4 linked regions of the Lepisosteus oculatus genome follow. The protein of the gene in region 3 binds, or shares a complex with, the protein of the main gene of each other region. Links are inferred from orthologs where the notes say so. Each region holds a gene or a part of one and is shown on either strand. Other genes may lie near its edges.

The links.
Region 1: mcm2 (region 3) and protein downstream neighbor of son homolog share a complex: the UniProt entries of both Homo sapiens proteins name them as parts of the replisome complex. The link is inferred for Lepisosteus oculatus from reciprocal best matches to the Homo sapiens genes MCM2 and DONSON.
Region 2: mcm2 (region 3) and gins2 share a complex: the UniProt entries of both Homo sapiens proteins name them as parts of the CMG helicase complex. The link is inferred for Lepisosteus oculatus from reciprocal best matches to the Homo sapiens genes MCM2 and GINS2.
Region 4: mcm2 (region 3) and cdc45 share a complex: the UniProt entries of both Homo sapiens proteins name them as parts of the CMG helicase complex. The link is inferred for Lepisosteus oculatus from reciprocal best matches to the Homo sapiens genes MCM2 and CDC45.

Annotation. Positions count from the first base shown.
Region 1 is NC_090708.1:28,968,404-28,975,997, forward strand, and holds the start of protein downstream neighbor of son homolog, read left to right. Parts: upstream 1-4,581; 5' UTR 4,582-5,076; coding exon 5,077-5,493; intron 5,494-5,892; coding exon 5,893-5,976; intron 5,977-6,864; coding exon 6,865-7,068; intron 7,069-7,554; coding exon 7,555-7,594. UniProt on the Homo sapiens protein: Replisome component that maintains genome stability by protecting stalled or damaged replication forks.
Region 2 is NC_090715.1:16,818,209-16,825,904, reverse strand, and holds the start of gins2 (DNA replication complex GINS protein PSF2), read right to left. Parts: upstream 3,021-7,696; 5' UTR 2,942-3,020; coding exon 2,852-2,941; intron 2,476-2,851; coding exon 2,361-2,475; intron 1,178-2,360; coding exon 1,078-1,177; intron 1-1,077. Other genes in the region: emc8 (ER membrane protein complex subunit 8), read right to left, coding at 7,104-7,263. UniProt on the Homo sapiens protein: Required for correct functioning of the GINS complex, a complex that plays an essential role in the initiation of DNA replication, and progression of DNA replication forks.
Region 3 is NC_090699.1:59,492,456-59,500,367, forward strand, and holds the start of mcm2 (DNA replication licensing factor MCM2), read right to left. Parts: upstream 3,004-7,912; 5' UTR 2,934-3,003; coding exon 2,928-2,933; intron 1,926-2,927; coding exon 1,738-1,925; intron 951-1,737; coding exon 781-950; intron 1-780. Other genes in the region: ccdc51 (mitochondrial potassium channel), read right to left, coding at 4,871-5,617, 6,192-6,356, 7,479-7,778. UniProt on the Homo sapiens protein: Acts as a component of the MCM2-7 complex (MCM complex) which is the replicative helicase essential for 'once per cell cycle' DNA replication initiation and elongation in eukaryotic cells.
Region 4 is NC_090717.1:1,234,186-1,241,341, forward strand, and holds the start of cdc45 (cell division control protein 45 homolog), read right to left. Parts: upstream 3,013-7,156; 5' UTR 2,862-3,012; coding exon 2,811-2,861; intron 2,046-2,810; coding exon 1,986-2,045; intron 754-1,985; coding exon 661-753; intron 7-660; coding exon 1-6. Other genes in the region: ufd1l (ubiquitin recognition factor in ER-associated degradation protein 1), read left to right, coding at 3,466-3,468, 5,096-5,228, 5,709-5,741, 5,905-6,026, 6,635-6,765. UniProt on the Homo sapiens protein: Required for initiation of chromosomal DNA replication. Core component of CDC45-MCM-GINS (CMG) helicase, the molecular machine that unwinds template DNA during replication, and around which the replisome is built.

The sequences.
Region 1 (7,594 bases), on a different chromosome or scaffold from region 3:
AAAGCCCTTTCACATCGGGGCCAGGGAGAGACGTGAGTGAATGGTACAAATCGCGTGTGCATATAAAAAGATCTATTCAGTATCACATAGAAAATCAAACTGCAAACATTCTCTGTCTGGACAGTGTTCCAAAAACCCAACATGATTAATTTGTTTTTGGGATTCATCCATTCTTAGATGACAGCACAATGTAAAACAGAGCAGAGCAAGTGGGAATTTGTGAAAGATGTTCAATTTTGCATTAATATTTGATAATGTAACACATAACATATAGGAAATGGTGCAGTACGCAGTTGGGCTGGCAGTAGAGGGATATCGGTCCAGATTGGGCTCACCTTTACAAGTTCCAGAAAACCCAGTCTCAAAATTTTGTGTAAGCCTTATCTTTAAATGTCAGCATTTTCCAACTTTTAAGAATTTTTGGTTGACAGTCGGTAGTGAATTGTGGTATTTTGTGTTACTCAAAAAAAGAGATGGAAGATTGACTTCCTGAGTTATCAAGAAAGATTTTTTAAGGGGTTAAAGTAAAGGCTAGGCTTTATGCAGGGATTAGTGATAGCATTTGGGCTACAACTGGTCTTATGATCAGTATGGGATCTTGTTATGGCTATTGTAAGGGAAATGTGACAGGGCAGACAGGTATAGATTCCTGAAAAGGTTAGGAGCTTATTACTCTGAGGTCCACGAGCTGGACTCCTTGTTTGCATGGAGAGCCACTCTGGTACAGTACAACCAACTCTGAGAGCCATTGATGCCTTTAAGCCTTCTGTGTCATGGTAGAGGTTGCTGTATTGTGGGGAGAGAGCCTATTCCTACACAGGCTGCAGTGACTGATGGGTCTCACTCCAGCCCACCTTTCAATTATTGAATTCATTTAATTACAAGATGAAGTGCACAAAATAAAAGAACCATTTCCTCCCAGGTCTTAGTCAGTTGGTAATTAAATGATCCTTGTAAATGCTGCAGGAGACGCTTGTCTTTGTCTGAAGGACTGGTTAAGACCCTCTGTGTTTTCAGACTTCACTGTGACGCAATGAAAGTGGTACAGGGCAAGCCCAGGGCATGAGTGGTCAACAGCACACTGGCCACCTCTCCTTCCTGCTGGCTGCAGCTGTGAGAATATTCTCTCGCTGTGTCCCTCCTGCTGCCTGGCGTTTTATACACTCTGAGGCCAATGGGCTGAACTCACAGAAAGAACTCACTTTGTGTAAATAGTCCTTGATTGTAAATGAATGCCTGAAAAAGTCATTGAGGCTTTATGTTACTACACAACACTGTGCTTTTTCACTTCTGGAAATATTTTTTTATTGTTTTGTTGTATTTTTTAGTTTAATTTTATTTTATAAATATAAATACAGTTGTGTAGCTGGAACCATGCTCCTGTGTCCTTTGCCTTTCTTTTCTAACACTTGTTTGTCCATCTCTGTGTTTTGATTGCAAAGAGCAGGTCTCAGATCTTGGAGCATTTATGAAACACATTAAGAAGGCTACAAAAAAAGACAAGACCGTTCTAGCTAACATGTCCATTGAGTGGCTTTTGATCTGAAAAGATCATCAGGGATTCTTCCCAGGGGTATTGCTCTTCAGGGAATCCCAGGGGATCAGCTTCCTGGAGAACTTACATTATGACTTGGCAGCTTGGTTCACATGCCCATCACCCTTTGCACAGAGACCTTCACCCCCTCAGTCCTAGACACATATTTTCATGTAAATTCCACTTCTTCTTTAGCTAAGTATGAAGCAATCCATTGGGTTAACTTTACCAATGCCCTTCAGTATTCCGAATACTTTGTAGCAGGTCACCTTGTAATCCCCTCTATGTAGGACTGAAGATACATAAATCTTTCAAACTATCTGTCTATGCCTTTCCTTTTTGAACCGGGATTATTCTGGATCCTCTGCTTTGAACTCTTCTGTCTTTTCTGTCTTGGCCAGGTGTGATCAACACTACCTCTCCCTGTGCCTTTCTTACTGAGTGTGTCACCTTCACTCTGCACCCTCCTGCCTCCCTTACTGTCCTTCCCACTTTGTTGCTCTGCCTCTTCTTCCTCCTTTCCTGCCTCTGTCAACTTTCCCTCTCTCCCAGCAATGTCACTTTGCCTTGATGGAACAGGAACATGTGGGTTTCTGACTTAATGCCAATCTCTTCACCCCCAACCTCCTCCCACAAACTCCACAGCTATTCCTGAACTCCAGAGGAATTTTCAACACACAGCATGCTCGGCAAGCCCAGACCTGCTTTCTGCCCGCACCACCCTTCCCCAGGACGGAGGTGGAGTGACTGTTCCTGACAGGCAGATACAGCAGTGGGGACTAATCGTAATGTGCACTCTTACCAAGGATGAAGAAGAAGCATAGCCTTTAGGACTAAATCATAGTTTCCTCACATTCTAAATGTCTTTAAAACCCACAGGCTGCAATCCTTACTACTAAAAAAAGTTACAAATGAGAGGAGACCAACAGACCCATCTATCACACATTTTGTTCACAGGGTAAAAATAGGTGAGGGCAGCTTCGGTTGGCAGGGCCCTCAGAAAACAAAATCATCTGTGTCAAGGCCTGCGTGTTTTCCAGCTCCATACATCTGAGCCCAACCCAGCACAGCACAGACTTGTCAGGGTTAAACTCAACAGAAGCGACATGCCAACCTCACCTGACCACAGAGTCAGGCTGGAACTGAACCTCAAACTAGATTTAATGATGGCGAAACCACTGTGGCTGCTAACTGTGTGTCAGCTGCCTGAGCGAGAATGAGTGTGTGTAGGGGGTTGTGCGTATTGACAACTACAAAACAACAAGGGACTCTGGTCTACCCTCACATGTTCCAGTCAGGAAGTGCCAAGCACTTTGCTTCCCAACATATCTTCCATATGTTTAGCTGGGGGGCAGTTATTCAGATGTCCTCCTGTTATGCAATACTAACAGAACTGTTAGAGCTGGCATAAAGGATGTATAATTTACAATATCCTTAACCTGATACAAAAACACATAGGCAACCACACTCTGTCCCATCTGGAGCTGTGTGACACTAAGGTGAGCAGTGTGGAACTTTGCTCAGACATTGTGTTTACAAACAGGGTGTGAGAGTCTGCCACAAATCTGACTTCCATTCAACCAAAGCCATACTTTTCGTCTCTTTGTTAGCTAGATGTATGTTTGCCAAGAAAACGCAAGCATATTGGAAGCTGGCACTTTGTTGATGCCTGTTGACAGTAGGGGAAGCAGACGTGTAACTATACATAATCTGAATTACTTTGCCAGACTGTGTTTGAAAGAATATTTATACAAATACATTTTTAATTATGCAGTGCTTTTCTGCATCTAGATAGTATCTTTTTAATCTGCACTTTTGAACTTGTAAAATCCCTTTAAAAAATGGGAAGCAAAATTTGGCTGCACAGTGTAGCTCTATTCCCGAATACCCGGCCTGGCACAGCGATACTGCCTTTAACACTCCCTTGTTGTCTCAAAATCGGGTACTTCTCTACGGGTGAATGAACCGGTTTACTGAGTAACGCAATCTGTTGCATTGTACGGAGAAACTGCGTCATCTAGTGGACAAATTATGTCATGGCGTGTATATAACAATCGTATGCAGTCTTTCATGTAAAAAGATCGGAGGATTCCGGTAACAGAAATTAGAAGAACGTTTTCCCCGTTTTTCAGTTGAAATAGTATAAATAATACCCTGAACGTGGTGATTGTTTTAAAGTCATATGTCATGAAGCGCCTTGGGCCAAACTTGATGAGAAAGGCGCTATATAAAAATGCATTGAATTGAATTGAATATGTATTTTCTATTTTACACAGCTCTTCACGAGTGACAGTTAATTTGGGATCGATTTGTAAGGGTGGATTTAAAATATATTGTAAATGCCGTTACTCATACTAATTCTGTTACTTCTAGGAGTGCAATCAAGCTACTATCTGTAGCCCGATTTAATCATATTTCAGGAGCTAAGCAAAGCTGCCCCTTAAAAAAAGAGATGGGAGACCACCAAAGACATTAATGAGTGAAAATGTCTCTTAATAAAATTGTCAGCCAACGTAATAATATACATTCTTTCAGAATTTCCTAGAGGCCCTTAATTTTAGGAGTCCCCTCTCCTTCATAAAGCACTTTTAGGTCCTTTGGAATGAAAAGCATAACGCATTTAACGAATTTTATTTAATAAATAAAAGTACATAAACTGTACATGTACATGATTTTTGTTGCTGACAAGTATCTTTGATATATATTTTTAATTTGGCTGACAATTTTATAAATAGACATTTTCACTCATTCATATAACTGGATATTTTGTTAGAACAATTTGTTGAAGTATCTTGCCTAAAGTGACAACAGCAGTAACTCACTAGAAATGTGAACAACCTTCCAGATATGAACCCAAAATCCTAGTTGATTGATCAATCTATTCTATTTTGTCTGAATTAAAAACATACAATATATCCAGCTCCTGCCCGCTCACTACAATGTTGATAACTGGACGTACAGCACAAGCACATGTTAAGCTCGGGAGAGCGTACGTAGACATCTCGCTCTAGGACCTGCCCAGGAAATTACCGGGAGAGTGACGTCATTACGTCAGTGTACTGTGGCGTGCTTGTATTACGCGCGAAATTTGTCCTCACAGAGCAATAAGAGAAAATCAGATGGAGTGAAGAAGCATCGAAATAATACAGAGATTTGGAACTCTTACGTCATATAAAAAGAGGACGGAATTTATCATTGTTCGCGATAAAAGTTAGTTCTTAAAATGTTTTTGTATTCCTTATTTTAGGAGTACATTTTCTCGTAATTGGTGGTATGTGCTGTCTTTCATATAGAGAGGCGATCTGAAGGTTTGCGACTTGGCGGGGTTCAGTTGTTGGAAGTACAGAAACAGTAACAGGAAAAAAAAAACAGGAAATCTCAATTGCTCGTCACACCAGCTTTGCGCGGGTAAAGTACGCTTTAATTCGGGGTTGATTTGTAGTTTACAGACGGTGAAGACTTACATGCTTCACACCGAGGGAAGTTGGCGAAGCTGGATACCTTGTTTTAGAAAATAAACTGAAGTAGCATCGAAAGCGACCATGTCTGAACACGCAGGCTACTCTCCGAGCTTCAAGAGACCTGCAGACACTCTGCGGTTGCGGAGGCAGCGACAGCGCTCCCGCAGCGAAGTGTTGACCTCTGGCGGCTGCAGCTCCGGGGCCAGTCCGGGGGGTGCGCTTTCCGGGATCAGGCCCTTCTCTCCGGGACCCCTTCTGGGCTCCGCGGTGCGCACGGGTGGCCAAAAGCGCAGGAACCCCTTCGCTAGCATCGAGAACACGTACAACAGCCCGAAAAAGAGGGCTGTGGAGGACTGCCAGGGGGGGGACGGACCGGCGGGGTGCAAGCCCCCTGTGGAGGCCGAGGGAGAGAACGGTCCACAGGGACTGAGCGTCTTGGAACGCGGCCTCTGCACACGGCGTGTTCTTGCAGAGACGCACAGCCGAGAACCCTTCAAGGTAAGAAGTCCCTTTCTTAATGCAGTGTTACTAATACACTACACCAGCGTAATCACTTGTGTTTAGAATCGGTGATGTCTCACCCTGATGCGATTTTAAATAAGAAAAATTACATTATGCAAGTAAACCCAATGTTTAGAAATGAACATCTTTTCATATTTTCAAAATATGCTGCAGAGTTTATGAGTTTAGGTGGTGTAGTATAGGAATTTACATTGAGTGCAACAGTGCAAGTGATTAATAAAATGCACACTGGGAGAGTAGTAGGACAGTTGGCATGTCATGGCCTCTGAATGTCCACTCTTAGTGGCAGTTTCAAATGAGGGTGTTGCCTGCAGTCAGTGAAGGTGACATCTCTTTTGCACCTGATATGTAGCTGCTTTTTCTTTTAATTTCCAGGTGGAACTTTCTCTTCCAGAAGATGATTCCCTTTTGGAGAGAGAGCTGTTTTCAAAACAGACAGCTCGTCCTCACATTTACTTGGTCAGTATGTTTTTGTTTATGATGGTTTTGCTCCTAAGCAGGAGTGGTTAGTGTATTGCTGCCTCTCAGTGCAAATGCCCTGGGTTCAATTCTGGACCTGGGGTGTTATCTGTGTGGAGCTTGTATGTTCTTCTGTATTCATGTGAGTTTCCTCCCACAGTCCCAAAACATATTGGTAGGTTAATTGGCTAGTGGGAAAACTGGCCGTGGTGTGAGTGTGTGCCCACGATGGACCGGTGCCATCCAGGGTGTATCCTGCCTTGCACTTGTTGCATGCTAGGATAGGCTGCAGCTACCCTGAATTGTAAGATACGACTACAAGATCGTTGGGTTTTACTCCAGGGTATTTTGCCTTCCAAAGACTGTTGAAATGCATTTTGTAAAGTCTGTAGAAAGTAGTGTTGTTAGTGCTTTGGATTCTTAACCAGAAGCATTTCCTAACCTGTAGACATTGATGTTGCATGGAACAATTTGTTTCCCAAATTATTCCTGTCCCCCAGTACTGTATACATTAGTACCTCTGGTATAAGTACTAACGCTGTGATGGATTGGCATTTTTCATTCTCATTTTTCAATTCTTGTTCCGCTTTTGTTCCAGTTCCCTAAATGTAAAAAAGGAATTGGAATTGGTGAGAAAAGGGGTTTGGGATTGAAAACTGGAACTGATCCCTGTGCTCCCACGCTCAGGACAGCCATTTTCCCCCAGACCAGTTTAACTTCGGCAACCTGGGAGGAGCTCCAGCCTGATAAACCTCTGGGCTTGAGAAAGAAAATAGTAGAATCTTCTTGTTTGGCTTGATGTTTGCAACAGTCTAGTGTAAATGGGGGACATGGTGATCGCTCGCAGTTGTCTGTACAAATAACCTCACCGCATCCCCTCTCTCCCAGGACTCTGAGGTCCCAGCTGTGACCGCGGCCGCATCCGACACTCCCTGCACTCAGTTCCCTCCAGATTGGAGCCTCAAGACGCGTCTCCTCTTCACCTCCCCTCGCCCCTTTGCCTGGGCAGAGAACCTCAAAGCACAGGAGGAGGCCCAGGGATTGGTCCAGCATTGCCGTGCCACCCATGCCAACCTGCTGTCCCACAATCAGGTACAGAGGGTCCACACACCACAAATTTCATAACCTGCAACGTTGGGGGGGGGGGGACAGGAATTTCTTTTTCAATTTGAAGAGATTGGCTAAGAGTGACTTGTTTTTGATTGTAGGAGGTGGCAGTGTGGGTAGCTGTTGAGCAGTGGGTCAGTTGTTGATAATTTCTGTAGATGATAGAAGTGAGTGGTGATATTAATTGTCTGGGAGTGTTTAGTGTATCAGGAGGAGGGAACTCAATGCCTGGCATCCAAAACATCCCATTGAAAATTGCCCACTGTGCAGTAAACATCCAGTAAGTACGTTTACTCTGCAGTGCTGCACAATGCAGTAAAAACAATTTACAGAGCAGACAGTTGTTGCCCAGTTGTATATTGCCTGTGTTTTCTGCTTTGTAACTCCCCACTCAAGGGAAACTCGAGTACATTGAAGGGGTACCTACTTGTTTCACTAATGTTGACTCCATGTGTGTCTTGCTTTATTCAGGAACTGCAGAACAGCCCAGATTTGCGCTGTGCCTTCCAGC
Region 2 (7,696 bases), on a different chromosome or scaffold from region 3:
AGGTCAGCATGTGTCCAGAGCTTAAAGGACAGTTACGGGGGCAGACAAATGAAAGCTTGCAGTCTTAAGATGCACGTGTGTTCCTCTTGAAAAACATATCTGAAAATTATATTTCTTTAAACCTTCTGTAATCCCACATGCCACTTCAAATCACAGCAAGGATTCAATAAACTGTTTTTGTTTGTTTCTTATGCAAATCGGTCTTGAACAAAGAAGGTATGAGGGAACCCAACACGAGTATTCAGAATCATCAAAGGCCCGGACACACTCGGCCCAGTGGACTTCTCCAGCACAAAGAGCGAAACAAACCAGAGGCCACAGGTGCAAGATGCAGGGAAGTGCATTTAGAGGAGGAGCATCTTTACCCAAAGGATAGCGTGAGCCTGGAGCAGGCTAGCCAGCCATATGGTTGAAGATCTCCTGGCTTTTTTGAAGAAAGGGCTGGATGAGATCCTCAGATCAATCAATTACAAACTAACAAGAAGGTTAGATGGGTTGAATAATCTCCTCTCCTCTGCAACAGTTCTAATGTTCTTCACTGGGACACAAAACTCACCTTTCGCGAGCATGAGGCCAAAGTTATAGGGTGGTGGCAAAAGTAGAAACTGAATGTCCTTGGTCGACCCCACCAAAATCCTGACTTGAGTCTGACTGAAAACTTGAAGACTTGCGGTCATTCAGCCAAGCAGCTCAACCGAGGCCAAGCACATTTCCAGGGAAGAACAGCAAACACTGCAGCAGCCCAGTGTGCACAGCTGGCAGAGACTCACAGCATTCACCGAGCATCGGGACAGAGGGGGTGAGTATTCGTGAAGTCAACAGATTGTAGTCTCCAATTTTCATGGCAGTTTCTGCTGATATTTAGCTTTCATTACCCAAAATATTACGTGTATTCAAATTGTGGTGAAAAACATTCGGTTTAAAATAAACGTACATACATACTACATCAGAAAGGAATGAATACTTGAGCTTGGCACTGCATGTTGCTCAAGCAAAGAGGAAAAGCTATTTCTTTAAAGCTTCATGACCGAGTAGGAAGGGTCTTGTGTCACAGGTCGAGAGTGCAGCGATACTCACTGGTTCAACAGTAACTTGGTCAGCTCCATGTAGTATGGACTGGGCATAGGGGTGAACATCCCTACTTTCCTCTCCTGCTCCCTGATCTCTTCCAGCTTCTCTGCAGTAGAGACAAGGGCTGACACTGAACACGCTCTCTCACAGCTAACCCCCCAAACAAGGCAGACAGCATGACCAGCTGCACCATCACAGATTCATTCCAAAGCTGAACGCCACGTTAGGTTTTATGGGACACAGGCATTAGGAGCAAATTTACATCTCAAAAAAGACATAAAGCTGCATTTACACATTAATGTCTTTCAATTGAATGTGGTTTTAAAATCCCATTCTATCTCAAACTGTTCTGGTAAACACAGAGTTATAAAGTCTCCCTATTAAACTGATTAAAACAAGCAATACAGAGTTGTCCGTTGCTGAGACTAGAGATACACAATCCTCATTATTACCAATCTGTCAGAGGCAATTGTTAATTTAATTTAGACAATATCTGGACACAAGATGGATGGACTATTCAGATTTCAAATACCAGAGATCTCTTTATTATGCCAGAAGCTATATCACCCAGCAATTCACAACTGACAACCAGCTCAGCAGGGGTGAGCCTGGCCAGTACCTGGATGGGAGACTCCTGGGAAAGCTGAGGTTGCTGCTGGAAGAGGCGTTAGAGGGGCCAGTAGGGGGCGCTCACGCTGTGGTCTGTGTGGGTCCTAATGCCACAGTATAGCGACAGATGGACACTAAACTGTAAAAAGGTGCCATCCTTCAGATGAGACGTAAAACTAAGGTACAAACTCTCTGTGATTAAAAAATCCCAGTTTCTCAAAAAAGAATAGGGGTGTTACCCTGGTGTCCTGGTCAAACTTCCCCCTGGCCTTTACCAGTCATGGCCTCCTAATAACCCCCCTCTCTGAACTGGCTCCATCACTCTGCTCTCCTCCCCTCTGAGAGCTGGTGTGTGGGGAGAGTACTGGAGCACTCCGGCTGCCGTCACATCCAGCACACTGGGCTGCACACCAGTGGTGGTGGAGAAGACTATTTACCTCTAAAGCGCTTTGAGTGGAGTATCCAGAAAAGCTATAAATTGTAGGTCTAAGGAATTATTAACTGAGAATCGACTAAACACGTTAATAATAACAGATGAACTACAAGGGAAAGACATTAAGTAATAAGTGGACAGAGCAAATTAACTGCAATGCATTCTAAAGGCTAACATGTAAAGGAAACAAATACATCCAGTGGCATCTATCCATCTTTTCATAACCGGACAAATTAGCTGTTCTCACCAACATCCATCCAGTCGGGGGGCACGATTCTACACTTCTGTCTCTGCTTCAGGTTGATAGCCAGCCAGACAGGCACATCCACGGGCAGACCGGGGTTGAAAGGACCCAAGTCCCCCTACCAGGACAATAAGAACTATTGACGCTTAAAATCAAAACAATTTTACATGTCAAAATTGACAGAGCTGTGATTCGACCGTCCCAAATTCGCATTTTGATTTAAATTCACTCGCTTCAGCCCGGTTTAAAATCGCGTTCTACAAACATACGGGTTTCTTTAATCTCGATTGATTTAAAGAAGGAATCATTACATTAACTGTAGCTATTTCACGTAGTTTGTGTCTATCATTATTATTACTGTAAGCAAAAAGAATACGTAAAGAGATGTTCTGTCATTTGCTTGTCAAATGTGTATCTAACCGGACGGATACTCTACACCACAATACAGATGCATTCTTAACTACACTGCTACGCCCTTTCATTTATGTACTTACCCCAATCAAATAGACTTTGTCTAGACTGAAATTCGGAATTATGGTCACCATCTCCTTTTCAGCTAAGAACTCTACCTCTGAAGGATCCATCCGCAAGTCAGACTTTTAAATTATATTTCACCAGCTACCACAGTCTACCGACAAGTTTCCCGCGCTGAATTCTGACGATGACGCTGTGACCCGGAAGTGAAGGTTTTTACTGTCGGCAGTCACGGGGGAACCGGAAGTCCGGCTCCTGTTGTAGCAGCCCTTCGATTTCGATTATTACCCGTGGAAACTCTTAGCTATTCAAACTTATATTATGTTAATTATAGGTTACTGTGAAGTTAATCATATTTTTTTAATTATTCAGACTTACGTTTTTATCATTAATAGTCACTATTAACATAATTGTATGTTTATAACTTTTATGTTATTGAGTTTTTCAGCATCTTAGTACGTTTAATAAATATTTGTTCATCTCCGAAACAAAGTTTTGCGTCGCGTTGAAAATTATTTGAAAACCTACCTGTTATACAGCGATAATGGTGAAAACCCTTTAATCTACTCAAGTGGTAGCCTGGGCATTTCTCCTAATTGTGCCCGTCACGTCTGTAGCTTAGAGAATTGTCCAGAAAAAAAAGATGCTAACTGGCCTAATGTTAAGATAAAGAAAATCGGGAACGTTATAGTAGAACGCGGTTGCTTTTTTAGACATATTTGCCTTTTGTGCTTCATTTACAAACAGGATAAATAACCCCAGACACTACATCATCCCAGCTCAAATTATCATGTCTCACCAGCAGGACAAATCATAACATATTCCCATTTTACAAGAAATCTCTTGTTAAAGGTGCACCGATGACTGTGCCTTGTCACGCTGGAAAGTTGTCAGGGTGACCTATAGCAAGGGACCCAAATTATGTTCCCAGGCTTGATCAGTGTAGAGCTGTGTAGTAAGACTTCCATCTCTCGCTTCAAGAGTTCTGTAGCAGCTAAAGGAGAGCTACCAGCTCCTTAAATGCTAATTAACCAGTTATTTAAAAAAGGAGCTGCTTGTAGCAATATTTTGGAAAGGACATTTTTGTTATAAATGATCTCTGTATTATTTAATTGAACACCACCTTTTTAATTGATCATAATTAACTTTTTCCAGGCCTTTAGAAATGGATTAATTAAATACTACTGATAAAGCCTGCTGGAATGTGGCTCTCTGGCTCTCCAGACCAATGGTTAGGGATTTCTGGCTAGATCATCAGACTTGGACTGCCCTATCAATACTAACAAGGCTTCCTGGCTCAGTGTCTTGGCCTGCATTTGACAGGCTGTTTGGCTGTATTGTCTTGTCAGACTAGAAGTTACTGGATGGTAAGCAACAGTTCACTTATTCCAGTCTTTTTTATTATTATTATTATTATTAAGGTTTTGTTCTCTTAATGTGTGGAGTATATTAGTAACTTTCTGTGACTTTCTTAATTACTTCATTACCTGTACCTAATTGGTTCACCTCACTGATAAGGTGATTTAGTGTAACTTGGTCAAAAGTACAGTGAATTAATCATCCATCCATCCATCTTCTAACCACCTTCTTCCAATACAGGGTCGCGGTGGAGCTGGAGCCGGTCCCAGCAAGCAATGGGCATGAGGCAGGGCACACCCTGGCAGACAGACACGCACTCACAGCAGGACCGGTGTTCCCAGGAGTCAGCTGATCTACCAGCATGTCTGGGAAAGGCATGCGAGGATGGGGGAACATACAGCTCCATGCACAGAGCACCCAGTCCCACACAGTGAGGCAGCAATGCTCCCCACTGCACTACTGTGCTGCCCACCTGGTCAAACTCAATGATGCAGAAAGCTTTTCATCTTTCTCTAAAATCCATACACTTTATTTTTCTAAAAATATACATGCATAAATAGTATATTAAAGCCAAGCGCTTTTTTGATGCTCAATGATTTTTAACATTTTAGGATTAAAAATATGCATCTTGCTTTAATTAGTAGTCTGTAATTACAGCACCTCAACAAATTACAAGGTATATCATATAAAGAAAAAATTAAAAATAACCTAGATTTTAAAAACATTTTATTAGTTCTAATTTACATTTTAAGATGACTGTGGTCTAAAACCTGATCTGGAAGATAAAACGATTGGACTTTATCAGATTTATACAGCAATTGGGAATTAAAATACCAGACTACAATACATGGGATTAACTCTGAGGTTATGAAATGCATATAAATTATAACACACAAAACTTAAACATTTTCTAAATTATTTTTAGCAAACCAATGGCTCCCAGACCATTTGAATATTGAATTGAATAACACTAAGGTTTTCAAACACAAGACTAAATATTTTATAAGGCTTCAACAACTTCAAACAGTTCAAAATCAACATCTTGTTGAGTTTTTCAGGGTCCAGAATGAATATGAATCCTATAAGATAAAAATCCTGAGCATTTCCATGCCTATTACATTTAAATGACTTTGGCAGACATACTGTACCACAAATTAGTAGACTGTCCTCATCTGCAGCTATTAGTCCAAGAAATCTGTTTTTTTTTTCATGCTGGTTATGATAACTATTGATACATACCCATACTATTTAAGGATCTTAGGAAATATTGCATTTTGAAGAGAATTGTGCATATTGTGAATTATCACTCTGGATAATAATGTTTCTTGTAGACATTCACATCAATGTGATAACATGGCTGTTCACATGTTGAGCTAAAAGCTCAGATTAAAACAAAACTTTGAACCAGCCTGCCAACTGCAAATTACACAGTTCATGATGCCAGCATTTGATTGGGGACAGGTGTGAAGTATCTGGCCAATAACTAGTTAACCGTTAAGTAGATAATGTTCACTGGCAAAACTGAAGTGATGACCTATGATGAGATGGAAGAGATGGCTTTTACAGTTTAGAGTAAATGGAGACTATCATTACTGGTAGTAAATTCCACACTTCTGTAGTTAATTTCCTTAATTACTCATTTTTCTTGTGTGTCCACAGTGATGGCCATGGACAATGCTGTCCTGTCAGGCCCCCTGTCTGAAGGCCGTTACCACAGAAAACATCCCCCATTCATTTCGCTCCACCTTTTCCTCAGCGCTGCATTCCCAAAGCCACCTCCGGAGCACACAGAATGGGAGAAGCTCCAGGAAGGTCAATAAAGAATTCTTCTAGCACAACAAAAATGTATCTAACTGTGGTGTTTTAAAATTAGCATTTAACTTGAAAGAAAAAAACAGGTTAAACAATTTCCTAAATTTAGACGAATCTGTGGTGCCAATTGCTGCAGCTACGTAATTCAGGTGAAACAGTTATGATGCTTAGGACTATAAAAATGACTGATTTTTTTAAAGAATTTGTATCAATTAAGTCTTCTAAGATAATGAAATGATGCACCAAAGATTCCACTCACGTTTCCTGGTTCTCAGTAGAAAGATCTATTTCCCTGTGGTCATGTGCTAGTCTAATAGACTAAAAAGTCAGGTCAATCTTTATATTCAAAGGAAATGGTCAAAAGCAGCATTTACATAAGTCAAAAATGACTACTTTAGTTTTCTGTATAGTCTGGTTAAAAGGTTAAAAAATGCAATGACAATTTTGATTCGGAAATACAATTTTAAACATCATACATGATGGAATTCTAACAACAAATGCTATTCCTAAACCTGGACAGGAAGCACTCAAGAATAGTTCTAGGAACAACATGACTTATACACACTAGGAAATCTAATTTACAGGCAAGGCTATCAAATAAAAAAAAATTAATTGTAAATTGTAATTTCAGGAATACAATTAGTCTACCTCTTGTCTTAATCATCTGAATCTGCACATTACCGGAATAACCATTTTTAATTAATTAATCCCTTCAATATAGTCTTTTAACTATTAATTACTAATGCCACTGCAGTACAGCAGTAGTGTTGCACCCGAACAGCAGTACATCACAAGTTTACACAGAAACAGCCATGAGAAACTACGACTCACCACGCCCGTGATTCCACATACACAGCTGTCTGAAGGATACCTGTTATTTCAATAGAAACCTGATTACTTTCCATCACATTAAAACTGAAGATGTGATACCGGGTACCCCTGCTTCTGGCCTCTTCTAAACACTCATTGTTTAGTCAGCGTCGCCTGTGCACAGACAGCTCTGCTCATGAAAAACAGTTCACGGGGGGGAACAAAAAGCAAAAAGATCCCAGTTCTGTTGGGCAGCAATGGCTCTGAAGAGTGTTCCTGCTTCTGGAGCCCTCAGCAGAGGTGCAGGATGGCCTTGTTGATCTCGGGGTTAGTCCAGTCATTCCTCAGGTCATCCAGGTGATTGTCAAAGTCCACCAGGCTCTCGTACGACCTGCCCTCCAGAAGAGCAGCCGTGATCTTCTGCGCTTCAATCCAGTCTTCACAGCAGTCGCTAAAAGCAGTCAACAACATTACGTGTCTGGGGTATAATAGTTATTCCTATATCAGTAATTACTGAGCACTCAGTTCAATGGGTTTGCTGTCCAGCTGAACCACATATACTGACTGTCTTATCTATGAGTGGTAGGTGCTTGTGTGCAAGATGCCCGATGACAGTAATGACATCTAGAAGACCATCTCAGGCTATGGGAAGTTCAGCCATCACAATTCTCTTTGTTTGAAAGACTGAAGGAACTGCAGGTTTGTTTCACCTTCATACAGCCCAATGCTTCAGCAGTTCAGCCCAGCTCTATGAGAACTGAAACCCAACAGGTATCTTAGAGCACGGAAAAGACTGTCAGGAAAAGCTGGGAAAAACAGCTGTGTCTTTTAATATAATTGCTGCCTTGCACACTGAGTGACTGACTGCGAAACTACAGCGCAGG
Region 3 (7,912 bases):
GGGCAAAGTGCAAACGTTAGTCTCATTTCCTTCCAGGTGATCCTCCCCCAAATATACAGGGCTGTTGCAGAAAAGGGGTCAATGTGATCTTCAGGAATTCTAAAGAATAATCTTAAGCCCTTCCTCATGAGGAGAAAGAGAATGGACCCTCCATAGGAACGGAATTAAAAGGCATAAAACTTTTCTGACCAGAAATCAATTTCAATTAGGATGGAAATAACAGTTCTACACTGTGAGCTTTTCCTCTTTTAGTTCTGAGACACTATGTTAACGGTACACAACAGTACCTTTTCTTGTCATGTATAATAGCGATATAATACTCAGAAAATCCACTCCCCTTTCTGGACACCTCTACTTGTTAAAGATAATGATAATGTCGCTTTATTAGCCCTATTCAATTTCTTGCATTAGGAATTTGTCTTTGCGCATACCCCAGCTTGCTCTCCATGAGACAGACAGGGAGAGAAGCTTGGGGTCAGAGCGCAGGGTCAGCCATTTATACGGCAACCTTGGAACAGTTGGGGTTAAGGGTCTTGCTCAGGGGCCCAACGGAGTAGGATTTCTCTGCCGGCTGCGGGATTTGAACCGGCAACCTTCCAGTCACAGGCACAGATCCTTAGCCATAGAGCCACCGCTCCGCCCTATGACACTGGTCTATAATGTGATTAAATGAACTCATGTCATTCTCAGACAAGACCTGTTACTGAATGTGCTCTGGGCACCGGAAGATTTAGTTGGGACTTTCTCACTCACTGGGCTACAGGATCACTGCTGACTTACCATACAGCAGCCCCCTTCTTAGACGCCCCCCCAGTCCTCTCTCCTGGTCCCGTCTCCTCATGGCTTCCTCGGCTGCGGCTCGGGCGCCGGGCGAGAGCTCCGACAGATCCTCCTCATCGTCCAGCCCCTCCTCCTCGTAGCGGTCCAGCTCTGGAATAGCCCGGTAGTCCCTGCAGACAGACGCTTAATGAACTAAAACGTTGCTTTTGGAAGCATCAAAAAAGTGATCAAAGTCTCTAAAAAAAAACACAAATTCCTGCAATCCCTTTTATTGACCACAAATATGCACAGAATAATTAAGAAAGGTTTTGGTTGCTGTAGTCCTCTAATTCCTGGTAAAACAAGGCATTGCTCTAAAAGCTATAGAATGCTGAACAGTATTAACCTGTAGGATCTTTTAATACCCACAGCTAAAATTGCAGTTTTCTTCCAACAAAGATTCCCCACATGTGCCGTCACTAATGCAGTGATACATCATTAGCAAAAACATAAGCACACTATAATTCTGTTTGCCATGATTCACAATACTACACCCTGCAATACCTTTTTAAGCTTTTCAATGCATTAGGCTTATTATATATCCTGCAGCTTGCTAGATCACTGTCCATCCTATAACGCAACTAGTTTTAAATTAACTGAACTCACTGTTCTACTCCACATAATTGAATTATTAGCTGTCGAATAACATACACCAAACACAAAAATAACAGTACTTTATAACTCCGACAGGATCTTTCCAACGCCATTACATTTGGTCTTAAACTCCTACAGGAAAGTACTGCCCGATAGGCAATTTAACTTCACCTCTGTGGTGATTTCAATATTTTATGCCATACTCCAAAAGATAACGCGAAAGAATGCACCGCGCTGTAATTACCTGCTGAAATGCTACATGCCAAAGCGAGATGCATTTGTTGTGCACAATGATCGCGGCAAAGCAGTCAGCGCAGAACTCACCGTTCCATCCCATCCCCGATCAGCTCTTCTCCATCCTCCTCCTCCTCCTCGGGGAGGGGGTCCTCTCCCAGCAAGCCCTCGGACTCATCCTCGAAGGGGGGCAGATCTCTGCCGGGGCTGGACGTCAGATCACCCTGCCGGGATGCCTGGCTGGGACTAGTGGCAATGTTGTAGGACTCGGAAGAATCCTGGGAACGAGATGAGCTCAATTCAAATTCTGTTGGTTGGCATCTAGTTGTTGTTGGGTTTTTTTTTTACACTACAGGACCAAAAAGTAATGATGAATATATGAACTCCTACAAAGAACCCTAAAAAAAAAAAAGCAATGGACTAGACACTGTAGAAATTTGATATTTGGCTCCTCCTTTTTACATAACCCAGCGTTGTTTGCGTTACCGAGGGCCGTCAAGGACACCAGGAATTAAAAGTTGAAATGAAGGCACGCAGATTGGACTAAAATCGCCTTCTGAACACTAATGCTTCTGGAGTTTGTTTTTCCAACATCTTCATCAGTCACCGGCGAGCAGGGCTCAGTCGAACAAGTGTGCTCAGGGAGTTTCTACCACACAAAGAGCAGCGCACTGTCTCGAATGCTTCTGTAGTTCTACTAACCACAGTTACATTTTGAGGATGATGTTCTAAATTACATCATTAAAATAATGGGAACGCCACTTTTAAAACATCCTTCCTTACTTTAGAACGTAAACCTCAGAATGACACAATGAAAACCTTTTCACCTCACTTCCCACTAAAATCCAAAAGCCGCGTTAGACTACACTTGCTTTAAAATTAAAAATATAGCAACGTTTCTTAAAAAACTCATAAACACAACCGTAAATATTTTAAAAGTGATTTTTAACTCTGAATCCAGACACCACATATATATACACCGTATATAACGTTCCGGTTCACCTCCTATCCTAACAGTATTTAACAAAGAATGATTCTTACAAAACCTATAAAGCAAGCGTTAACCCAAACGACTGCTTTTCGAGTGCAAAATAACTCAAGCTTAAGGTTTAGGACATGAAAATGATTTCAAAGCCTAATAACAAAGCTCAAATTCCTAACTAAACCGAACGAAAAAAATAGATTGTAAATCTTCTCCACTTCAAATATACACGATAATTTTTTTAAAAAAAGTGCGATTCACTATCGGTAAAACAAAAATAATTCCATTCTCTACTTACGGCCATTCTGTAGCTCCTGGTACTTTCTCTCTCCTGCAAGGAAACTTGCTGTTTCTCTCTTTTTCGCGCGAAATGGCCATGTGACAGCAAAGCGCGCGAAAACGTATGAATATTTAATTTAGAACTACGAACGCATTTTCCGATTGGTCCATGACTTATAAATATTCATTAGTCACGGATATTGAACCCATGTCCGGCCACTTTTAGTCCAGCCCAGGAAATGGGGGAGGTGCTTAGCAAGTAGCTTTACTTTAGCAGATTCGTTGCGCTGCTGTTAGTTAAGACACGTGTTTTCCAATACCGTACTTTTGATAGGAGTGCGTCCTTTTTGTACTGAAAAACACTTATATTCTTTAAAGGCAAGATCTGGGGGTTGGTTTCGCATACTCTGATTAGCGTAAGAACACCGGACTACATTAGTGTAGCCTAACATTGTTTAGTAGGTTTAGGAGTTTTATTACTCAGTTCAAAATTATTATTTATTAATTATTTATTAATATAATTATTAATTATTATCTTCACAGAGAGATGGACTTTACATTCACCTCCACTTACCTTTCTTCGTACGTTTTACAAAACTGAGATGTTCTTATGGCATGGTTGACAAAGTATTCTAAATGGAGTCATTCAGTTTTGTAGGGATGTCATAACTGTTTGTAGAACACACGTTTTATATCACATATCACCCTCCAATCACTTTACTTCATGTCCATTTCCAGAGCAACAGTAGGTTATTGTAGTCTTATCTCCCCGTAGCAGAAGATATTTGACATGACTTCATATGAATGCAGATCCCTGTTTCAATATGAAGTTCCCAGGCTGAAGTGATGTGAACAATACTCATTACTGGGTGAAACAATCAGTTCCGTGGGATGCCTGTACCATACAGATTTTTCAGATGTAGCGTATTTATGTAGTTGTGCTTGAACCTGTTTTGATTTAATACAGCATATTCCAGCATTGTCACCTTCCATATTACACTTTTGTTGTATCATGTATTTTTTTTATTCCTCTCACAGTCCAAGGACATACTGGTAAGTTAATTGGCTCCTCAGAAAATCGGTCCTGGTGCGAGTGTGTGTGTGTTTGTGCCTGTGTATGCCCCTGAGATGGACTAGTGTTCCATCCAGGGTGTATCTTTTCTGGCACCTATTGCTTGCTGGAGTAGAATCATGACCCTGTATTGCATAAAGTGGTTAGAGTAATGGGTTAATGGATTTCTTTCAATTTAAATTGTCTGCACAGCTCTACAGTATAAAACATAAAACACAAATATTTCTATTTTTATCTGACAAGAAAAGACTCACTGTAAAATGTATATATGCATAGATGTGTATTTCTTTGGATTGAAGGTTGATATATAGTGCTGACATTTTTTATGATTTATTGGCAAAAAAATACTGTAAAAGTATTTGAGCAGAATTCTGAACGTTATTCCAAACATATAAAAGACTCAACTGTGTTGTACTGAGTTATGTATGTGTATTGGTGTTATTTCTACTTGAACTACTTGGCACATTAGTTTCTCTTTGCACATACTGTATGTTGTTTTTTAGGCTAGGGCTAAAAAAAATCAACTATAAAGCAAAGAAGTCCCAAAACAGATAACCAAATTATTTTTCCAAAGACCTAATCCTCCCCCTTAAAAAAGTATTCTGATTTTTTTAACACACCGTTAATGCATACCTACTATATTACCTGGGATTACTTCTGACTTAGTTTTAAGAATGTTTCAAATGCACACACACACACAAAATAATGTTACTAGCTTTTATTTCAAGAATGATTTAACAATGTTTCACTTTTGACATACCAGTCTCTATTGTGAGATGTTTCATGTAAGAGATTCACAGAAGATGATTCATTATCTAGTGCTGTAAATTGATTATGCACATACTAATTGAAAGGAATAGTCAGATTATCTAGAATTCCTCAATTCTGTTTCAGTTGCTTTTAAAGATGAGGTACAGCACAGGAAGTGTTAGTGCAAAAGCAGTGTATGTTAAAACTGTGTTGTACATAGTGTTCCTGTTTATTTGTGCCTCTAGTCTCTTTTCTGATTGGGTCAATTCCAGCATGATGCCCTCTGTATCATAGGGTTGCACATCCTGGGACTTTAAAAGCTGGTTCTCTGTTGGGCGAGACCTAATGACCACCTTTACTGTTTGGAGCTCAGATGCCACCTTCCCCATCTCATGCTCCAGTTTTCTTAACTGAGGCTGGATGCCTTCAATCAAACCATGGATCTTCTTGCTGAAAAGCAACTGTTCTTTTAAGTCCGAATCAGAGGCACTTGGAAGTATCTTGATTGCAGCTGTCCCTGCCTTATCGGCTGGCTTTGGTCCTTGCAAAGTGCCCCTCAGGCTATTAATGAGACCGCCGAGCTCCTCCTGCTGAGACTCATGTATACTGGCCTGCACCTTAATTGCTTCCTGGAGGCTCACAGGTCCCTTCTGAGCCTCCAGGAGGAGGCTTTTCAACTCCTGCAGACGGACTCTGTTGATGTAGGTGGACCCCAGCACTCCGATCAGGGCCCCCAGCACCGAGCCGATGACGGACCAGTTTTTTGTCCTTTCAGCCCTGGCTCGCTCCTTCTCGTGGCTCTCCCGCACCCCGGCCGAGAACAGGGCAAACTTCTCCCGCTCCGCCTCCTCTGCGTTCCTGTAGGTCGTACGGAGGCGACGCTCCTCCTAAAACAGCGAAGCAAAATGAAGCACAGGGTTCCAGAAGTTAATTAAGATGAAAGTCAACCCCTATTGTCTTAAATTACAAAAGCACACCTCCCACCCCCCTTTAAATAACCCAGTGTGGAATCAGGTTTTTTTTTCCCCGATCCTGTCGTTCTGGCGTGAAGTCTCTTCCAGATTTCCTTTCTTGGGGCTCTAACTGAAAAGAGTGCCTTCAAAAAAAATCCCTCAATGCCCTCCAGAAAAATCAATCTGTCAAAAGGTAATGGCAACAAACATTTCCTCAGAGGAATGTACATAACTAGCACCAACGGACAGACAATGTAGGTCACAGAAGAAGTGGTGTTCAGAAATGGCGGAGAGCCAGACTAGCGTGTCGCAGTGAATGACACCGCTCTGAATGTAGCTCCTTAGACACGGGCTTTCTACTGTACTTATAAATCATTTAATGCCGGGCTCCCGACAGCACAGTTCTGCAAAAAAAGCGCCATGAAGTACGAAAGCAGACAGGGAAACCGAGACAGCAGTAATAAGTGGCGTTTTAACATCAAGCGAAAAGAATGACGGGCTCGCCCACCTGCAGCAGCTTGTGTTCCAGCGTGGCGAGCTCCAGGTAGTGCACCTCTTCCCTGGACACGCGGTCCAGCCGATCACGGACCTCCTTCAGCCTCACCTGCAGGGCCTCCAGGCTCTCGTGGGCTTCCCGCACGATCCCCCTGGCCACCATGAAAGCCTGCTCCGCCTGAGAAACCCAGAAACCCTCGCTCATTTTCCAACTCACGAGCAGCTAACTGAACCAACAGGTCCAGGCTAGCCTTACAAACGTCTATTATCAAAAGCAAGGAGGAAAGATTTGGTTTTCCCCACTGTTGATGGACAAGCCAAGTAAACACCCGAAAGGCTATACCACATTTTTTAGAATTAAAATAGGATTCCTATAGGAGGGTATGTGAAGAAGAAAAAAAAAAGTGTAATATAAACACTTATTAAAAATGTTAATTATCAAGGTTAAGAAAATACATGTTATATTTACAAATAACTAATGTTATATGAGGATGACGTTCTGCTTCTTATTAAAGGTATTGGTAGGGTATGTAAATGACTACTATGAATGTTGGTGGTGTGCCGTATAAGACTGAAATAAAGACAGGGCAATTGACTTTTCCTTTTTCTGAAACATTTTTTGAGCTTAAGAATCAGTTAATTAAGCCCCTGTCATAGGATTCCAGGGGATCTAATATCAGAATCTATAAATCTACTGGTCTTAAGGTGCTTTTGAGAGCAGTAGAATTATAGAAACCAATCCTAGGGGATTATTTCATTACCATTTTTATTGTTCTACAGTGAAATGTTATTTGAAACATTTAGCATTTGGGTAAAGAAAAGATACAACCAAGGTATTGGGAAATGAACAGTTGAAATGCTAATGGCTTCTTTATAGGTAGCTTGTATATTATACAAAATTTTAGTTACAAGTTAAAGGTTTAAGGTTTACTATTACTTTATTAACCAAGGTCTGCACAGTGTCTTTGAATGTTTCTCTTATAAACACCTTCACATTATGTAAAGACAACAGCCGTAGATACATCCACAGTACATCTATAAATGTATGACCCAAGCATATTAGGTAAGCGATGCAGCACAACTGTCTAACATCATTTAACTGAAAAAGAAATTGTGGTATACTATTTGTTTAAATAAAAATAAGCAATTTATTTTTAAATCCTATTTTTATGTTTCACTTTTTATCATTGTACTGCTTTTTTGGGGATTTTTCTTCCAACATTTCGGCAGAACTGTAGAAAACGTGTTCCTTTATTTCTCAGTACTAGTGTGCAGTGTAGTTGTAACTTCCCCCACTTACCTCTGTGACTTTTGCCTGTGCATCTCGGACTTCATTCAGCCCCACAAACTCCTCATATTTCTCCCACCAGTTGTTGATGGCGGCTGAAGCTCCCTTGACAGAACTTTGCCCCCACTGTCTGCTTATATTAGCAAACTTTTGCAAACCGGACTGCAGTGGTAGCTTTCCACCGGCTTCCTTCGGGTTCTGAGCACAATAAAATCGAAACGGAAGGACATCTGGTCTGAGGTTTCCCGATACCTGAGCAAGATAACAGCGTGTCCCATACCTCACTGGTAACAAGTCCACTCTGTACCTCATTGAAGACGGTGCTACCACAGTCCAAATATGGTACAGGAGACTACTGGCCCTGTTTCAAACACACCTGAAAAAAAAGTATAATTATTTATAATCAGACATATTTATATTACTACTCTGACTTTAAAAAGTTAATG
Region 4 (7,156 bases), on a different chromosome or scaffold from region 3:
ACGGAACTGCGAGGCAACACAAAGACGAGGCTTGAGCACCCCAGGGGAAAAACTCAAGACATCAAAGCCCATGCGTTTGGGCAAGGAACGGGCTCCTATCAGGATTCAGGATCTGTGCTACCAGTAAAATTCTGACTTTTTAAAACACATTAATGAATGTTATTGATAAAAAGTAATGTACTGTAGGAGTTTTATGTATTTTTGGGCTAATGCTTTTATCTAACGTTTTTCAGACCTCAGCTCACAGCTATGAATCCTGCGACCACACACGGGGGAGAATAAGGAAGTCAAGGCAGACTCCTCCCACTTCCCCACCTTTGAGACAGATGGGATTAAACACAGTACGCATCCCTCATTGACAGAAAGGGGCACTGTTTTACAGACAGGGTGACTAATCCCACTCAACTGTATGTGCTACTTGAGGAATCGGCTGGCGACGTGACCCACATTCGAACCCAGGATCGCAGTAGCCTGTTAGTTTTATTACAGTTTATAGACAGGTTTCCTCCCATTCATCCCTTACAAATGTCAACTTCTGGTGCAAAACATCCAGGAACAGCTACCACCAGAGAGATCCTCAACATCCCGCTTTTTAAAATAGGAGAACACAGTAAATACCACCCTGTCCTCACAAACTCAGCATTATGCCACGATCCTGACCTGCTCCTTGTGCTCCAGAAAGGCTGTCTCCAGGTCCTGCCAGCCCCTGACTGGCACCAGCGTGTACTGAACATGGTCACAGTGGAACAGAGCCTGAAAGGAAAAACAGCACGCAGGTCATTTTCTCTTTAAAGACCTCGTGACTGGGAGGTTCCCCACTCAGGTCCCGTGTCTCAGCCACACAGTTGCTACAGTCTCCCCCCGAGCAGGGCACCGAATCGCCCTGTGCTCTGTCCTCCGGACATGGCCTCGTCTGGAGATCCCGTCTTCAGCGATGGCAGCCTGGACGGGAGGCGGCCGACTCCTGACCTGACAGCGTCCGCTGAGCAACACGGAAACATCCTCAGTGTGGAAACAACTGGACTTTTGGAGAAAATAGTGCAGGATACCAGCTGCCCAATAACGGCATCAAAAGCCAAAGTCAGTGACCGTGCAGGCTGAACAAAGTCTGACTGACCAGGGAACTAAATTTACCTCCCAACTGATGAAACACCTCCATCGGCAGTTAGGGATTACGTCGATAAAGACCCGTCCTTATCATTCACACACAGACTGACGGGTTGAAAGTTCGTGTCAGATGCTGGAAAGGATTGGGGGAGATGGACTGGGACTCTTTCTTCTATTTGCATTTCGAGAAGATCCGCAAGGCAACAGTGACAGATCACAGATCCTACAGCGGGCGATCTGCTGGCTCAGGAGTTAGCCTGGGAGCCTGAGATTGAACGGTGGTGACATGGCATTATTTGTCCAAAACCTGTAACTCACGCCCAGCGCGGTTCGCTTTGTGTCCAAGGAGACTCTTGGGTTTCCAGCTGTCCTGGCCCGTTATCAACAGTTAATGGCTCACTCTGTGAGGACTAGCACATCCCTGTGCACGCTTGCGTGATAACAACTGACCTACGGCCTCCGTGCTTCTCAAGTGAAAGAGATCAGACTTGCAAAGTTCAGTGTTACAGTACCCAATTACTGCGCCACACTGCTTTAATAAAGATGAGCTAAATTGATACTCTTGGATCTCGCCTTTCTTTCCCTGGGCTTTGAATCCGATTTCGCACAGGTGCACTCAGAACGCATTATTAGAGCATGGACTGCCAGATCTCTAGATCATAGATCTCCAGAGCCATAACTGGACATCCTTGATCTGGGATGTCAGCAGGAAAAGCAGTAGCCAGTATGCAGCAACTTTTATATAAAGCACGTTTCCTGACGAAGGACTCTTTCTCCCCTATATGGTTCTCAAACAGGCTCTAAAGAGGATAACGTCTACAAAAACACCTTGTAGAGGACACTTCTCAGAGAACGCTCCTGCACTCTTAAATACGCACCTGCAGTATTTTACAGGCGCACAGCGCGTCAATGTCCGAGGAGACCAGGAGAGCGACCCTCTGGAGAAACAGGGAGGGAGAGGATCACGGGTGGGGGGAAAAACAGAGAAAAAATATTAAATCTGTGGCCGAGCTGAGCTGAGGATGCGGCTTTCTTCGGGCCGGCCTGGTGTGGGCCCCGAATAAAGAACCTAGACCTCCTATTCTTCACTATATTGAGGAAATACAAGGCTACACCTGTCATTAAGTTTCTATGCACTGTATATAATGGAAGAATAATGCTCTGTAGCAAGTCAGCTTGATGACGGATTGACTTTGCCAACGTCGACCTGATCATGGGCCAGGCACTGATCTAACACAGAAGACAAAACACTTGAAAAAGGAAAAACAACAATAAAATATAAAGACAATTACAGAACACATCTTCGCATGAAGCGACGATATTTTATTAACACCTACAGATGTCATATGTAAACACTCACACGGAACACGAAGGTAAATAACACCAAACACCTTCCTTCTATTAAAATAGAAAAATAAATCGCCCTCTCGGTCGCCTGTTTAAACTGCCGCCCTAAAAAGATAGTGCAACATTGTTTTTCTTTGGGCGAGTTATGACAACCCCTGAAAAAACAGGCAAACTAAGTATCCAACGTCTGCTAAAACACCCAAGTATAAATATGGAACTCCTGAAGACCATTAACTGGCACTAATACCCTTAATACCTCTCGAATTCGTTACAATACACCGCGTTAAAACGAAACCCTCACGTTTAATAGTCTCTCTTCGATAATTGAGCACTACGACACAAAGGGATCTTTTTACCTGATTCACAACAACATCGTAGAACTCCTTCCGAATATCAGACACGAACATTTCCAAACCCCTTTCTATCGACGACTAGGAATAAAAAAAAATAAAAATGACCTTTTAAATAAATTAAAAAATAACTCGTACAAACGTATAAATTGATTTAAAATACACCAACTCCTTCAGAGATACAGAATCTTCCGTTCCTTGTTAAAAACCTGGCGCCAAATCAGTTTGATGGACTCCTGTTTCCTATTGGCTTGTAACAGATCGATCTAGCCAATCAGAGTTAAGATCCTTCAGCTACTCGTCGCTGATAGGTTATTGGAACAAGCCAATGGTTCGCCACCACAGGTAGACGATGCGCCATAGAATTTTACGCGGATTGGTGTGACGTCACGTCAAAACAAAACTTTAGACCAATCACTTACGTAGAGGCGGTGTACTGTTAAATGATTGGTTATTGACTTTGGAAACGACGTGGGGATTGGTTGTTGTTTCTCCTCGGGTCACTTCCCTTGGCGACTATTTACTTCCCGGTTACGGAACAAACTCCTCTTAATAATCTTCTGCTATTAGGAGATGGTCGATTGTAGGTTCACTTTATTCTTCTTTGGTTGAAACCATTTGTTTTCATTAAACATCGTACCCTAAAGAGTAAGAGTTCATCATGGTAAGTACAGAAGGATTGGTGGTTTTGTGTTTAATACGTCGCATATTGAACTACAGCGCCAGAGCTGTACAGAAAGAAAGATGCACCGTCACTGTTACAAGTTCCCGAGATGTGGACAGATTTGTTAATAAACCAGGCGTCGTGATGACAGCAGACGTCTGAAGACGAGTTTATTTTCTCAAGTTCACATAAAGATGTAAACACTGGAAAGACCACTCTTCTTCGAGCGACGTTCCGCCCTGTGCGTTGTGGCGTAGGTGTAAATATCAAGATAGGTGTCATCCTCTCTGTCTGCACGTAAATGAGAACAGCAGTGTTTGGGTTGCACCCGCGGCGGAATGGAATAAAGGTTTTTGGAGACCCTGAGCAGCAACAGAAAGTTGACATCAATCTGCCAGGGACTGACTTCGTGCTTTTGACGACCAAAAAAATAGGTCGGGAGGGCTGCTCGGGCCTGCGGGGAGATACCACCCCAAGAGCGGTTATAAACGGGGGCAAAACTCTGGTGCCCTTTTACCTGATGGTGGGGAGAAGCAGAGGCAAATCGAGTGCTCCTGCCCCAGTTGTAGAGCCCGGAGTTTCAGTCAACAGAGCCTGATTACTGATCAAGCCAGTTATGAACTCAGTCAAGAAACCTGGTTTCTAGACTGAAAACCAGACGTCTGGGTAGATCTCCAGAGCCATAACTGGACATCCTTGATCTGGGATGTCAGCAGGAAAAGCAGTAGCCAGTATGCTGCTCCTTTTATATAAATCACATTTCCTGACGAAGGACCTGACATTCTCCCACATGGTCCAGGTCTGAAAGTTGTGCTTTTTGTGCGAGAGCAGAACAACACCAGGGTGCCTGTATTTGTAATGGCAATAGGCTGTAAAATGGCCTGCAGCTATATCACTCTGCAACTCACAACAGGTTGCTGCTGGAAGAGGTGTTAGTGGGGCCAGCAGGGGGCGCTCACCCTGCGGTCCATGTGGGTCCTAATGCCCCAGTATAGTGACGGGGACACTATACTGTTAACAGGCGCTCTCCTTCGGATGAGACGTAAAACCGAGGTCCTGACTCTCTGTGGTCATTAAAAATCCCAGGGTGTTTCTCGAAAAGAGTAGGGGTGTAATCCTGGCATCCTGGCCAAATTTCCCATTGGCCCCTACCAGTCATGGCCTCCTAATAATCCCCATCTCTGAATTGGCTTCATTACTCTGCTCTGCTCCCCACTGAGTGCTGATGTGTGGGGAGCGGACTGGTGCATCATCCAGGTGGGGCTGCACACTGGTGGTGGTGGAGGGGATCCCCGTTACCTGTAAAGACCTTTGAGTGGAGTGTCCAGAAAAGCGCTATATAAGTGTAAGCAGTTATTATTATTATTATTATTATTATTATTATTATTATTATTATTATAATAAAAGACAGGAGCTCCAATGACAGTCCAGGTCTCTGCGAAAATATTTTAGATCTGAATGGAATCTCTGAAAGTAGTATTTGGAGCTGAAGTTGATTTCAGATTGGTCAGAGAAGTGTGAGTGGAACCACGCTGTATACCTGTACAACCAGCTGTCTCCACACCTATTGAGATGAAACCTTCGTTGTTGTTTTCTGGGGGCTGATCGTTCTGTCCTCTCATTTCAGTTTTCCTTCAATATGTTTGACCACCCGATTCCACGGGCCTTCCAGAACCGGTTCTCCACACAGTACCGCTGCTACTCCGTCTCCATGCTGGCCGGGCCCAACGACCGCTCCGACGTCGAGAAAGGAGGGAAAAGTAAGAGCAGGGGAGGCTTTGCTGGGTCTCCTGAGATGTCGCCCGGTCCTCAGCGTGGGGTCTGGGCAGCTGGCTTGATGCCACCCATTTAGAACGCCAATAGGGTGAAAAGCTCAGTTTCTGACAGGCTTGCTGAGCAGCTGTACTGCACTGTAACATCTTGCCACAGAACATAGCATAATATAAATGTGATACAGTATATGACATTATGTCATAAGTTCAGGTAGGGAGCTGCAGCAGGATGCTTAGGCTGCAAAGGAACAGGTAAAGGTTTATTCCCTGCTGCAAAAAGAACGTTTTGCCTGTGGAGCCTTCTTCTTCCTCAGCTGAAGAAGGCTCCACAGCCAAAACTTTGTCTCACTTTTTTCTTTTCAGCGAGGAAAAAAACGTTTACCTGTTCCTTATTATGTCATAATGTAGCATAGTAAAAGAAATGTATTTCAGCAATGCTAAGCTTTTGTTGTTCTTTTTTTGTTCTAGTTATAATGCCTCCATCTGCGCTGGACCAGCTCAGTAAGTACGCCAGTGACAAAATATGTAATATATAAAAATATGTTCTGTGTTTGCCATGTGCGTCTGTGTTGGTAATGAAGAACTAGCAGTTTCGTCTGGAAAACAGATCCGTAAGAGCCTTGCTTTGTCGGGCACGCACAGTTTAACTCGAGTCTTCCTTCAGGTCGTCTCAACATCACCTATCCAATGCTGTTCAAGCTGACTAATAAGAACTCGGACCGCATGACGCACTGCGGAGTGCTGGAGTTTGTCGCGGACGAAGGAATCTGTTACTTGCCTCACTGGGTGAGTGTCCCCTTCTTAAAATGTTTTAATAAAATATGTAACTTTGCTTTGGTAAAGCTATTTCTGTTTGGTAAAGCTGAAAAAATATATTCCGCTTTAAAATCATCTGTATTAAATAGTATTGTTAATAGCTTTTATTGTGTGAATTGAAAGTCTTTTTATGTCATGTGACATAACAAACAATGTGAGAGACATGTTTGCATGAGCTATTGCTGAGGGTTCTTTTCTGAAAGAGCTGGTGGAGATCCTCAGATCAGTCAGTGATGAAATCTAGAGGCTGGATCAGCTCCACTGCTTTTTCTTATTTGTAACCTTTCTCATGTTTTTACTCGGGTATTGAAAGTAAAAAACTGTAGGTGAACGTTTATAAAATGTCTGTTAAAGTAAAAGGGGTTGGTTTTATTGTCGATCTGGCAATTGGAGTAAAAGAGCATACACTTGCATACTTTTATTTATAAAGCCCCGAGAACTGCTTCATGTTGCATGGTTACAGTGAACATTGATTGTGCCCAGGCAGTAAGAGCTGGGTGATTGATTCAATGAAAGCTGCTGACTTGGTTGCCTTTCCTGCCCTCACTTATTTGTCTGCTTGGCCTGTTTTCCTTCAGATGATGCAGAATCTTTTGCTGGAGGAAGGAGGTCTGGTCCAGGTGGAGAGTGTGAATCTCATGGTCGCAACGTACTCAAAGTTCCAACCCCAGAGCCCAGACTTCCTCGACATCACCAACCCCAAAGCAGTGTATCCTTCCAGTTTCAGACATGGGTTCAAGTACCACTAAGGCCTGGAGAAAGATCCTACTTAAAATGACAACGCTTTCCACAGGAGTAATTCCACAGAATATTCCTACAGAGCAAATACCTTTGGATAAGATGACAGGCAATTCATTCCTTGGGCGGAGCGGTGGCACTCTGGCTAAGGATCTGCGCCTGTGGCTGGGAGGTTGCCGGTTCAAATCCCGCAACCGGGAGAGGAATCCTACTCCATTGAGCTGTATAAATGGCTGACCCTGCGCTCTGACCCCCAGCTTCTCCCTCCCTGTCAAAGTGTCTCATGGAAAGTAAGCTGGGGTCTGCAAAAAGACAAATTCCTGATACAAGAAATTGTATATGGCCAAATGAAGTGATCTGTT